Linked DNA regions of Caenorhabditis elegans. The protein of the gene in region 1 purifies or fractionates together with the protein of each later gene. This does not show direct contact. Each region holds a gene or a part of one and is shown on either strand. Other genes may lie near its edges.

Evidence for each region. Proteins that work in one complex are often made in the same cells at the same time.
Region 2: the proteins of mom-5 (region 1) and vang-1 purify together in Caenorhabditis elegans (affinity purification with western blotting, with the first as the bait; one study listed by BioGRID). This does not show direct contact.

What each region holds. Positions count from the first base shown.
Region 1 is NC_003279.8:9,963,588-9,970,575, reverse strand, and holds mom-5 (Protein mom-5), read right to left. Parts: upstream 4,997-6,988; 5' UTR 4,936-4,996; coding exon 4,463-4,935; intron 3,970-4,462; coding exon 3,599-3,969; intron 3,535-3,598; coding exon 3,396-3,534; intron 2,856-3,395; coding exon 2,614-2,855; intron 2,502-2,613; coding exon 2,381-2,501; intron 2,034-2,380; coding exon 1,815-2,033; intron 1,390-1,814; coding exon 1,242-1,389; 3' UTR 539-1,241; downstream 1-538. Other genes in the region: tsp-7 (Tetraspanin), read left to right, coding at 83-227, 330-463. UniProt on the Caenorhabditis elegans protein: Receptor for Wnt proteins.
Region 2 is NC_003284.9:2,884,169-2,891,200, reverse strand, and holds vang-1 (Vang-like protein), read right to left. Parts: upstream 5,344-7,032; 5' UTR 5,330-5,343; coding exon 5,174-5,329; intron 4,362-5,173; coding exon 4,228-4,361; intron 4,178-4,227; coding exon 4,045-4,177; intron 3,993-4,044; coding exon 3,774-3,992; intron 3,007-3,773; coding exon 2,564-3,006; intron 2,220-2,563; coding exon 2,001-2,219; intron 1,950-2,000; coding exon 1,781-1,949; intron 1,026-1,780; coding exon 900-1,025; 3' UTR 520-899; downstream 1-519. Other genes in the region: B0410.3 (Neuropeptide-Like Protein), read left to right, coding at 1-90, 151-330.

The DNA of each region.
Region 1 (6,988 bases):
TTTCTTTAATTTAGCAAAACTTCCAAAAAAAAAATTAAAGTAGAACTACAGCATTTAAAATTCAAATTAATTTCAATTTTAGTTGTTTGAATGTTGTGGAGTAACAAATTCATCCGATTGGCTCACATTCACAACAATTCCTGATTCATGTTGCATTGAAGAAATCGAGGGATGTGCTCGAGAGAATGCTCCACTCTTTGAGCCCGGATGCATTCACAGTGTCGAACGTTAGTCTTTTTTTTCCAAGAAGATCAAAGTGTGCTCTGTTGCACTTTCTCAATAGAGCATGATTGGGCTTATCGGAAATTTGATTGTTTTTTTAATTGCAGAATGGGTGCTCAAGAATGGAGCAATGGTCGGCGGAATTTGTGCAGTTTTGGCAGCAATTCAATTGGTCGGAGTCTGTTTCGCTTGTTGTCTTTCAAAATCAATTCTCAAGGATTTCCATGACTTTTATTATTAGTTCATAACCATCCGTTTTTCTTTGCAATCCTTATTTTAGGTTCTTTCAATCGCCGTGTCACAAATTAAACAATAATAATAATGTATAATTTATATATGAATATACGATGAAAAAGAAATTGAGGATGAAGAAAAATAAGCAACCGCATAAATAATGAGTAATAAATTCATAACTCTAAATTCGAGACAAAGACTGGGATGAAAGTGGTTTTACCCTGATTGGAGTGCTCAAAGTGTGAAAAAAAGTGTGTGAACCTTGTGCTGGAGCTGGTGACAACAGAACTTAAGAACATGAATAAACGAGATACATGAAAAATGGCAGCGAGAGAACTGATCTACAGTAACCTGAATTGAAGGGGGTTCTTTTTTGACTTTTCTCAAGCTTCTTTCTGCCCTTTTTGTCAGATTTCAATGTAATTCCACTCAAAAATATCATTTTTCACCATCTTTTCCACTCGTTGTCTCTCTTTTGCTATGTAAGAGCGCATCTTTGGGAGCCGGTTCTTAGAAATGTGCTCGTCGCAACTCAAATCAGGAAGCATTGAGAGACAACGAGTAGACGAGGAGAGTGTAGACACAGAGATGGATCATGCTCTGGGGAATGATTCTGTGAGAGGAAGGGGACCGATGGGCGCCGTCCGATGAGCAAGAGAGAGCATAAGAATAAGTCAGAAAAGTTACAAAGAATGAAGAAAAAGAAACATTTGAGTTGGTTGGGAAAAAAGTGAGAAAAGGAATGAGAATACATATAAATAGGATAAAATGACAAGAAGAGACTATCACCTCATATTAACCTGATCAACATGAGCAGGTACAGTAGGTGACCTCGAAGAGAGTGCCAGGTAAGCCTTGTGATAACTTGAAAGAGTTTTTGAAGAGACAACCCAAATGGCACAGGTTATACCAACAACCAATTGAGACACATATCTGAAAATAAGAACATTTAGGGGTTTCGAATCAAGATAAATAATTCATATTAACTAGACGCGAAATTATGCAGTCTCGGCACGATCCAATTTTGTCGAATATGCGCCTTTAAAGAGTACTGTAACTTCGAAGTCGCGTTGCTGCGGAATTTACATCGATTTTTCATGAATAGTTTTTCTTATGTTAGGCTTTTTGTGTTTGAATTGCTTAATATTTAAATAAGAATATTTTTTATCAAGAAGCGATGAAAATTCTGCAGCAACAAGAGTTTGAAACTACAGTATTCTTTAAAGGCGTATACATTTTTGCATTTAACAAACATTCGTCTTGTCGAAACCGGATGTCGCATTTTTGGCGCAAAAATCAGAAAATCAAATTTAGATTATACAGATTGAAATTTAACTGATTCACAGTTTCAAACTAACTTTAAAAGAAAAACAATAATCTCCGGAGCTGCAACTTTCGGATCCATCGGACAATCATCAACTGGATACGTGAAACCGAATAATTCTCGATCTTGAAGTCGAACACATCGATGATGAAGCCATCCTTCAAGCCAGGCAGGCATATTTACTGCCTGATACCACATAATTGCAGCATTCATTGCAGTTGGTAGAGAGTACATTATGGCGAAGGCACCGATTCTGAAAATATAATATTTGTATGATAATATGAAACGAATATCAGAAAAGCGATTCTTAAGTTTTTCTTATTTTGTTCGGTTCTTAGGAAATCCAATTTTTTCGTTTTTTTTTTCTGAAATTTTGGAATTTTAAATAAAAAATGATTTCCAGGGAATTCTCGGGTTTTAGAATAATTTATCAACTTTCCAAACTGAAATCAATATATCTACATCAGTAAACCTAGTTTGCTCGTCTTTTTCTGTACATGTTTTTCCAATTTTTCGTTTTCCAAAAATCGAAAGTATTTCTTTTCTGATTAAAAAAGCTCAGGTACTTTTGAAGATTTTCAAAAATTTGAAATATCGAACCTCAACATTAATTTCTCCAATTTACTGATATTCCTCTCAACATCGGCGTGTTGAAGTTTAATATAACTTCGAATACGGATCATTGACCAAATTCCACAAACGAGTAAAACTGCTCCGAGTGCTGCAAATAGAACATTTCTGAGAAGAAAACGAAGATAAATAACGATGGAACACACAACGAAACGAATTCAATTTCGGTCTTCCCCCACCATAATATTCACAAAAAAACTAACCCAACGATACAACGATCGGAGTGAAAAAGAAATAGACGAGAGCAGAGGGATTCAAATTTCCAACTGAACAGATTCCAGTAAATACATCTCCATCGACAGAATTTGTCACTAGTACAGTAACCGAGAGAACTGCTGGAACTCCCCAGCACATTGCGTGGAAGTATGGTGACAGAGCAGCAATTGATTCAGCTCCCCATTTCAGATTTGCCGCCAGGAACCAGGCTAGACACAGTACAAGCCACCTGAAAGAATACTTAGTATATAAAATATCATTTTAAAAAGGCTGATAGCTGTTTAAATCAAGATTAAAAATTTGGGTGTCGATTTTCGATTTTTCAATGAAAACAAAAATTTTCGATTTTTGTTTTTTTTTTGTTTGAAGAAAAAATACATTTTTTTCATGAACAAAATTTGATAAAAATTGAATTTTTTTTTTGATTTTCCGATTTTCCGGAAACGGGGTTTTTTTCATTTAAAATTTGGTTTAAAAAAAATATTTTTTAGATTTTTGTTACTGAAAATTGTCGAAAATCATAAATGTAATTTTTTTCTGAAAAATTACACTCGAAATTATAAAAATTAAAATTTTTATCAAAATATTCAAAAAGTTCTTTAAAAAAAAAATGTTTCAGTTGTCGTTTTTTTGTTGAAAAATGTGTTTGAACAAAAGAAAAACATGCCGATTTTTTTTCGAATGCACATTTTCAAAACCAGTTTTCTATTTGTGGTACAAAAAACGGTACTTTTTTCGTTAAAATACAAAAATTAACGAAAAAACTCACCACGCACAACTTGACATGAAGAAAAAGTAATGAACAACAGCAAGAGCACTACATCCAACATTTTCTCCTCCTTGCGTAACAAGTGTTGTTGGAGTAGATCCATACGTTCCACAAGCGAATCCATCTTCACCGACTACGCCTGTAGAAATACATTTTTAGTTTCTAAAAAATCTGATTTAAAAAAAACAGAAAATTCAACTCACCTATCATATAAACCGTAGAAATTGCTAGATAACAGAACGCGAGATACAAAATCGGTCGAACTGGATACGCGAATCGTGATAAATCAACAAGAAATGTGACAAGAGTGAATAAAGAGCACACGAAACATGCCACAGACCATGCTGCTGTCCAGATTCGAAGAATTCGTCGAACACGTCCATCAAACATCATTGGTACTTGATTGTCAGCTTCACATGTTAATGAACATTCAGGAAGGCGTCCACTGAGAAGAGGCAATGAAAAATGAGATCCGCTTGTTGTATGCATATGATGAGGGCATTTTTTTGGAGAAAGGACAACTTCGTTGGCAATTGTTGAAACACCGAATGTGACGTCATTACTACTTCTGTAACTTGAAATATTTTATATTTCGATCTACGGAAACTTGTTTTATTGTTCGATAAAACAAAGAATTTAGAAATCTCGATGTACATTTTTTTCGGAAAATTTCTAAATTCAAAAACTTTGATAAAAAACTATTTGACGCTTTGGAGTAGGAGTTTTTATGGGGCTCAAAAATTCGGAATAATACTTAAATTCAGCCAAACTTGTCAGTATCACAGCGGCCGTAAATTTAATTTTCAGAGAGCTTTTTTTTTTTGAAAACTCTTACGAGGTTCGGTCTTTGCAGGCCATTCTGAATTTATTATTATTTTTCTTTAAATGCAAAACCGATGATTTTAACTGAATTTACAATTTAATTTCTCGCTGTATTTAAAAAAAGGATTCTAGAACGGTTCCCGTAAATTTAAACTTTAATTCATGTTTTGGGTACTTTTGAAATTTTTGTTGTAAATATATATCAATTATAAATTCTTATTCATAAAATTATGCAGAAAACCCACTTTTTAGAGTTGCTCGACTCGCTGGAATTCTTGCCAACACACAAATCAGTTACTGGGAATTTGTTACAATCCAATTGATCTGGCCATTGAAATCCAAACTTTTTCATTAATGACTCGCATCCATTTTTTGCAGATAAACACAATTCTCGACATGGTTGAATTGGTTTTTCGAGTACTGTACAGACAGGTGCATAGACAGTACAAAGAAAGAGACGAATATCTTCTGAGCATTTAACTTTAATTAATGGATTGAATTGCGCAATTGCTGGACCAGCTTCAGATTGTGTTGTATGTCCGAGAAGATTTGGAAATACTGTTTGATTGTAATCCAGATTTTTGCACATTGGAATTGTAATATGTTCACATTTTCGAGTTGTTGAGAATCCATTCATCGATGAAATTGAAGTTGATGAGAGTCGTTGATCAGCTGATAAGCATCCGAATAAAAATAATATCAGAATATGTCGATGCATTGTAATTGATAGTTTTGAAGAGATTTCAGATTGACAAGTGTTAGTTCATAGCAGGATTCGTCTGAAAATATAAAAAATTATTAAAGAAATAGTTTTTTTGGTTATATGTATAGAAGAAGTTCAACATTATTTAGTTAATAGTTTGTGAAATGGAGAGAACAAAATTCTAGAAAAATGATTTTTGGCAAAATTTGGAAAAAAAACCGAACTTAAGTAAATAGCTAAAATCTTTTTCAGAAAAAATCGAAAAAAAATGTTTAGAAAATTAACAAAAAGTGAAATTTTTAATGAGTTGTTGATGTGGATAAACATTTTCAAAAAATTCTTCTAAACGGAGGAAAATGGCCAACAATTTTAGATATTTTACGAAAAATCTTTTTTTTTCTCGAAATATCAGAAAACCAACACAAATACTTTCCGGCAGTTGGCAAAGATGACACATTAAAAATTTTGGCTAAATTTAGGGATTTCTCTTCGAAACATTTTCTATAAACATTTTTTGGAAGGTTTTATTGGAATTCAAAATAGAAGACTCGGTCCATAAATTGACCTTCAATTGATGAGAAAACATTGAATTTTCAAAAAAAGTGAAATGGTGTAATGTTGACATTGGTTCCAAGTGCTAAATCGAATCAATGAATCGTGAAATTATAGTGAGAAACGTGGCAAAGAAAGACAAAGAATAGTAGATTTCGGTATCTAAGTGAATCTAATCTTTAGATTACTGTACAACATGCCTCTAATCTCTTTTTTGTAATACTCTCTCGTTACGCAACTTCCGAGAGAACGGAGCACACACACACAGTAAAGAATAATTACGGCTCGGAATTCGAGAGTAATTAATGATGATGATGAGCACTGACCTAATGAAAAGATCGAAAAAGAGTGAAGAGACACAGGCCACCTGCTGCTCGAGTGTCAAATGGGCAATGAACATGCAAACGGATGAGGGAGGAAGGATTCAAGAATTTTCAAACAGTGATTCATTTCGAAAATATTCTTGTTATTGTTTGGAGAGAATTGAGGAAAATATAGATGAGAATCGAATTGAGAAAAACGGGGACGATCGATCTGTAGAAGAGATAAGAGCAATGACCTAACTGGTAGAATTTTTTGGCATTTCGGAAATTAGTTTTTAGTTTTTAAATATTTAAGTTGAAGAAAGCAAAGAAAACATTTAAAACAAATTGTCTGAAATCAACGATATTCTTAAGCAAAAGGACGCAAAATATTGCACCAAAAATACGGTACCAGGTCTCGACACGATAAAGTTTTGTTTGCGCCTTCAAGGAGTACTGTAACTCGCATTGCTGCGGATTGTTTTGATTTTATATAGGTAAATTCATGGATTTTCATTGTTTTAATCAAGTTATTTAATAAATCAATATTTTCTATCGGAAAACTATAAAAAATCGATGGAAATTCCGCAGCAAAGTTTAAAGTTACAGTACTCTGTCAAGGCGCACAGCTTTCTACATTTATCAAAAATTTGGCGCGTCGAGAGGTACCGTATTTTTTGCTAAAAATCGCAGAATCGAGCCTGAAAATTATATAAATAATTTAATTGTTTTCGAAATTCAAAAAAAGATGCCAGAAATTTAATATCGACGAACTCGAGGAGCACATAAACATATTATTTGAACTTTTGAATAAACTTTTCCAACATCCGAACTGGGAGGCCGAGTTTCGCAATGTGAAGAGCCAACATACACGTCTCGTGCCGGAGATGGGTGTCAAATTCAATTCCCGAATCAAATCAAATGAACAAATAGGCCCGTCGTTTCGATGAAAAAGAACTGACGAGAGCAACACAACTGGGAGCTTGTGACCAGAAGAAAATGGAGCAAACGAGTGATTTGTGATTGATAACGGAAATGAAAAATGGACGCGGAATTGGAAATAGTGGAAAAGAAGAAGAGGTTCAGACAAGATGGTGATAAGAAGGGGGAATGCGAAAATGTTCGCGATGGGAGCAATTTGGATGATTTCTCGTTTCAATATCAGGTAGTTTTTGATGGTTGTAAAAAAATGAAGTAAACGTAGCCAAGAAGAG
Region 2 (7,032 bases), on another chromosome or scaffold:
TACAGATCTGAGAAATTGACGCGACGTCGGATAGGAATGCAAAACACTGATTTCCGTCCGATTCTTCATTTGCGCGGAGAAGATGATTGGGTAAGTCAATACTTTTCAATTTTTTAGATTTGAATCGGTTTTCACCAATACTGTTTTCAGCAAAAACAAATCAATGACAACTTCTCGCCCAACCAGTTCATGGATGAGAACGGTATTGTATATGATATGGATCCCACGATCAACGACAGAATTTCCACGTTTTTCAATAGTCAGAGAATCACCAGCAGTAGATTTGGAAGGAAGAAGAGAAGCTTGATGTTCCCGAGACTTTTTGTGTAATCCAACTTAAAACTATCTTGTTCGCATTTTTTTTCATATATCCGTTTCCTTCATTTTTCATAGCGTACTCTCGATTTGACATGTTCTCTCTAGTGATGTGTTACGGGTATTTCCTGATGTACATCTAATCAACATGCTAAGTCAGTCACACTCAAACAAATATACCACCTCTGATCTCATAAAAATGATTTTTCTTTCCATGATGTATTTTTTTTCTTTTTTTAAAATCAAATATACATAATAAATAATCACTTTTTTATTAAGAAAAACTTAAACTTGAATAAATTATTCATATCATATTGAAAAGGTACCAGACCATAAGTCAATGTGAAGAAACTTAAAGAAAAATAAATACTCGAAGAAGTAAGTGACGCAGCGCGATAGAGATGTCAAATGTCAGTCATTATCATCTCGGTCAGATGAGGAACCCGTACATAGAAACAGCATGATGTAGAATAAAAGTTGAAGAAAAGAAGCTAACAGGTAAAAAAAATTTTTTAAAAAACTGATCAAATCAAATGGGCATTTTTTTGGAAGTTTACTTGATGGCATGATGACTAGCCCACAAATCAAACTGCCGACTCATTGCTAATTTTTAAGGAAAACTTTTCATTTCCAGGTTTGGCTTGCTCGGTCAAATTGAAGAACGGAATACTCGAGATGGTGCAAACAAGTTGAACTCCGCAGTCGATATCCTGAAAAAAGGTAATATTAAACGGTTTAGCAAGTCTGAGAAGTAACTGTTTTTTTTTCGAGCGAAGTTTGAGTGAATCTTTTCAAAAATTTTAAAAATTTTGATGGCGGTTTCAAATTTTGCTTGAGATGTACCTAAGTCAACAAAATAGCGTAAGATAACTTACCGAAATTTGCAATATAAAATCATTCAAAGGTACATGGGTTTAGCAGAATAAAATGATAAAAATTTGTTGCCAATCGGCTTTAAATAATGCAGAAATACCAATTTTCGGATTTTATTCGTAATATTTTTTGTTAAAGTGTTTTTGTAATGCTCTTGCAACCCTACCGACCGATCAAGCATTTTTTTTTGAATGCAAAACTACTGGAGGAAATATGGGACATACTACTGCTATGGTGCCAAAAATGCCAAATATAACAGAAAAACGTTTCGAACAAAATTGAATTATTTTTTCAAAAAGTGACAATTACTCAGTTTTGCCACTCATAATGTTGGAAGTAGATTTAAAAAGTTGTTTCTACTATTTTGTTTACTTCAATTTTGTTTTAAACATTTGTGTTCGAACTTTGTAAGTGTCCGAACATGCGAAATTGCTCTACATTTTTTTAATGCTTAGACTTTTCAAAAATTTGGCACTTTGCCAATACGTTGTAAAATTCAAAAAATCTTTAAAAAATTTTGGAGTGTTTAATTATGATATTCGGTCGTTTTAAATGTGTATTTAGCTTCAACATTAACTTTTCAAAATCTTACTGGGTTGTGCGATTTGAGCACTAGATACGTTCCGTGTTGAACTCCAGAGCTCACCGCCTCGTCGCAAATTACCGACCATTTCGATTCCCCGACAATTTCCCGTTGGGGAATACGGTCACTGAAGAAGCGTTGGAGAAATGTTCGATGAGACAACTTGAGTGTTAGGCATCTGAAATTTGAAAGCTTAATCTTTGAATTCTGTTTATTAAAAAAAACGTACCTTTCAATGTGCCTCGTAACTTCTCCTGAAGGATGTCTTGACTGAAGACGAGTAGTTTTTAAATATTTGGTGAGCGGCCGGACAATCCATGTGAATACGTTTTGAGCAGCGGTCAGTGAGTCCATCTGGTTGTTAATTCCAGGCTTTTGGTTCGTTCCGGACTCGGCAGTGTTCTGAACATGGGAGAATGCGTCTTCGGCGGCGGCAATTAGGCGATACCTGTAAAGATTTTATGAGTTTCGAAAAGAGGCCATTTTTAAAAGCTTTGAACCGCCATAATTTTTTTTGAACAATTTTCAGAACTTCTCAATAAAAATTTCCTTAATTTTAGGCCATTTTGTGTCCAAAAAATCATTTCGCTACCTCAACTCTAAAATATAATTCCAACAGTTGTGACAGGGAAAAGTGGACAAAATTTGAAATTATAGCTTTGAAAAAAGTAATATAATATTTAGGAAGTTGAAACAGCCGTTTAAAAAAAGTTTTAAACTTTTTTGAGAAGTTTCATTACAAAATTTGTTCAAAGTATCCAAATCGTTAGTTCTGAATTTGAAAACACTTACTTTCTCTTCTTTAACCGTTTTTCAAAATCAAGTTCTTCCTGCATCACTTCAGCATATCCACCAATCCTTCTTCTCGCCGCGGCTTCCATCAAAGCCCGCGTGTTGACTTCACTAACAGTTTCCTGCCCTCCAAATTGCTCGATATTGTACATCTTGAAGCCTGCGGTGCCTCCTTGCATTCCAGACTGCTTTGCAACCGCCGTCTGTCTGGCGTTGTCAAGGTGAATGTTGAACGAGGAGAATCGAGTTGTGTAGAAACGAAGAATCTCGGTGGCAGCTTCTTGAATTGAGCCAGCGCCAATGTTCAATGTATGCATTTCACCGTCTGGATCGCGAACAATAGTTACAATGAATTGGGCACGTAGACGACGAAGCTCGAGGAGCACAACAGAGAGATAATGTGTCCATAGAAGAGCGTCGAGCAGTGATGTGGAATAGGAAACCTGAAATTATGAATTATGATTTCACAATTTTTTTTCGAAATGATTCATAGTGAAGTCGAACAGTATACCCGCTTCTGAATTTTCGCTACAAATTATGAACTTAAAAAAAATGGTTCAACAAATAAACTGTTGCCTAAAATTTTGTCCACATGATAACACAAGTTTCAACATTTTAAAAGACTAAGTTACAGCGGCCGACACCTCGCGAGCCAATTTTTTTGCCACATCTCATGACTGTAACTCAAGAATGAACAGTTTTCATGAGCAAAGTTTTAGTAACAAATAATCCGCAAATAATTTTATATTGCATGTTATCAATCGTTTTTTCTTACGCAATCGGTAGAATTGAAAATTTCGGTTGAAAATCTGGTCATTTTTTTCAAAAATATTTTTAGGCATTTATTTTAAATAACTAATGTTTACACTTTTATTCACATTTGAACTGAAAGTTTTAGAACAATTTAACCTCCATTTTCAGAAATTGTTCACGATGAGTGCCGGCATTGCTACACCTTTAAAGGGACGTGGCAAAAAAAGGACTTACGAGGTGCCCGATGCTATATCTTTTGATTTCAATGACTTAATTTATTGAAACCTGAGTTATCAAGTAGACAACATTCTAGGTAACAGTTATGTAGTTGAATTTTAATTTTTAGGGTACCTAGCTTGTGCGCTATACTAATTTGAAACTATAAAAAAAGCCAGCAAAAAAATCCCAAAAACGCATATACTTTTGGCCACCACTGTGTTTGAAAAAAAAAACCTACGATGTACTTGTAGTTGTCGTATCTTTCAAACATTATCCTGACAATGTAAAAGAGCCAAAACGCGAACAGGATAAACATGACTAAAAATGTAAGCGCAGCTCGTACAAAGTACAACCTGGGCATGTCTGCCATGGCTTTCCTCCAATAAAGAACTCCAATTGCAATTACCAAAAAGATTGTTTTGATTGCCATTAAAAACAGGAGTCCTTCACAATCGACCTGCAATACATTATATTTTTAATGCGATATAATTGGTTTTCGAAATACTCACGTCACATTGAATTGCCGGCATGCTGAAGCCGAAACGTGGTGCGATTATAGGCAATGAACACATTATCGGCGCACTGACCACCGATATAATGCAAAGTAACGACGAGGCCAACAGCCAGACAAACCTAGAGCACCTGAATTTCAATAGTTATAAAAAGTGAAATTAGAAAAAAAGAACATTTACCGTCTTCCTATGACACGTCCAATTGGTGGGGTATAAATCACTTTTTCTTCCATTGTGAAAGAATCCGTCGTCATTCCAGTGAGCACGGTGGTGTTGTCTGCCCAGTCTTCGTTAGGTGGTGCAATCTTCTGGCCCTGCAAATGAATTATAGATGTACTCAAAAATAGATTTTCCAAAAGTGAAAACGCAAAGCGATAAGATATGTATATCGACTCGGCGTTTATGACATTTTAAATTTTAGATAAGATATTTGGTCGGCTTATATCTTATTTTGACACATCTGAACAAAGAATTTAAGGAGTTTCAGAAACTGAATTAAAAACGAATTTCGTAATAAAACTTCTAAAAAATATTTATGGGAGGTTCAATATTTCGAAAAAAAAGACGAATTTTTTTAAAAAATTCTCAAATTTTGGCCACGTTTCCGTGACACAGCAGTTTTTTTGTTTTTTTTTATTGAATATTTTGGTTGTTTATCTCACGGTATTTCATTTATTTATGTTTTTTAAAAACTTTACCAAATCTCTTCGTTCATCGCCTTTAAAATAATTAAATAAAGTTGAAAACGCAGGATAATTACATTGTATACTCAAAATTTTACGGAAATTTCAAAAAAAAAGATTCCAGCCGCAACGACATTGACGAGTAGGACAAATTTCAAATTTTAACTAATTTCAGGCCTACTTTTTAAGGAACTTTTTAAGCGAATAGATAATCAAAAATTACCTGAATTGGTTACCTACTGGCATAAAAATTGCCTGCTCAAAATGTGAAAAAATTAACCCTTTCTTTAAATTTTAAACCGACTAAAAACATTTTGAACACTGTTGAGAAGTTTCATTACAAAAAAAATGTGTTCATTTTGAGCACATATTGGTACCCAGAGCCGTTACTCCTCATTTAATTGAGTTTCATTTTAAAATGTATCTTCAAAAAAAAGGCTTACCTCACTAGCAATTGCAGAAAACCTCGGTATAAATGGCTCGCCAATTTCAGATTGTGCATATCTTGGTCGTAGTTGCTTCTTGTGTCCTTCATACCGAAAACCTCCAACGCAACTCCTCGTGTCTTTCGGAAGTTTCCTGTTATCTTGATACGACATGTTCCACCTGAAAAAAAAAATCTCTCCAAAAATTTTGATCCATTGAAAAGAATGAGATTTATAACATATTATATTTCATGTAACAAAAAAAATCCGAACGGAACGATAGATTGGCAAAGACAATTTGTGAAAAGAGATAAAACGAGCCCTTCGGGTTGCGCACACGCCGTCATAACATTTTCGTTCCACACACACACACACAACCGCAAGTAAACGATCCATCCACGATCAATGACAAACGAGTGGACGGAAAAGAGGGGACCCCGAAAAGAAAATAACCTCTAACACATTATGCAGCGTCCTCCTCTTTCTCCTTCCACTGCTTGCCCCAGCGCAACCCATTCGGCCAGTGTGTGCGTATGTGTGGTGTGGTCAGAGGCGAGCGGGGAATGGGAAGAGGAATGGTGAGTGAGCGTGCGTGTGTGTGTGTGTGTGTGTCTACTACTATCCGCTAGGCCGCACCAGATGCGGGGCTTTTCGAAAAACGGACCCCCGGACCGGAGCATCTTTCTTGTCACCCCTTGGAGCCGGTTTTCATCTCCCAATGGTCGTCAATTACATGCGACACTCATTGGTGATTTCAAAGAGCGGATTTGGGTAGAAGAAAACCGAAAAGTAAGATTTAGCTGACGGGCTCCTTATTTTGTGACGAAACATGTATCTATTTTAGGTACTTGTGTAATATACCTAGCTCAAAAATATGTTTCAATACGTTTTCCATTCATTTCTTTTAAAAATTACAATTTAAACAAAACGTGAAATTGATTTGTATTCTTAGGTTTAGAAAAACATTAATCCTTATGGACATAGTATAGAACATAATTACGTAAAATTTTCAAAATGATTAATATTTTAAATCCAGGTATACTTTCACAAGTACCGCATTTTAGATAGCTGAGAAAATCATAAAATAAGAAAATATGGCAACCTGGCAAGATATAAAGCTTTAGGACTATTGAAAAAGTTGAATTCTAAACAGCTCGGTACAATAAAATTAGCATCAATCCGTCAAGAGGTGAACGAAAAATGGAAAGACGACAAATCAGGGGTGTGCAGTAACAAAGATGAGTGGGGTGAAAATGGTGTGAGAGGCGAAGGTGTGCGCGCGCAGACACACCACTCCAAAGAACCACAACGGTTACGTAGATAACACAACAGTAGTGCAAATGGTAATTTCATTGGAGCACATTTGCAAGTGTAAGTGAAAATTGGGATCTATGCATCGATTGTTTAGTGTGACAATCGAAAGGTGCTAGAATGCTTCAACCGTAATTTTGTCAACGTTTTGTTGTTCTAATATTTATTTTTTGGTACTTGTGTAGCAGGAGCAAGCGACAAATTTGCCGAATTTGTCAAGTTCACCATTTGCCAAGCTCGGCAAATTTCAAAACAGTATGTTTGGGGAATTTGCCGAGCTCGGCAAATTTCGAAATTTTCCGCACACATCAAAAGTTTGAAAAACAATTTTGACTAAAACTACTGATTTTGACCTCAAAAATTTCAAAAAAATGACACACAAACTCACGGAACTTATGCAGAAACCAGATGTTTTTTCTGAACGCAGTAGTTTTGGTATGGAATAAATTGAAAAAATTCAACAACTCATTTCTAATGTATAACTTTGTTAAATCACAAAGAAACACTTTTTTTTCAAAAATTTTGTTATGTCTCTAATATGAAATATAGCATAAATAGGTATACAT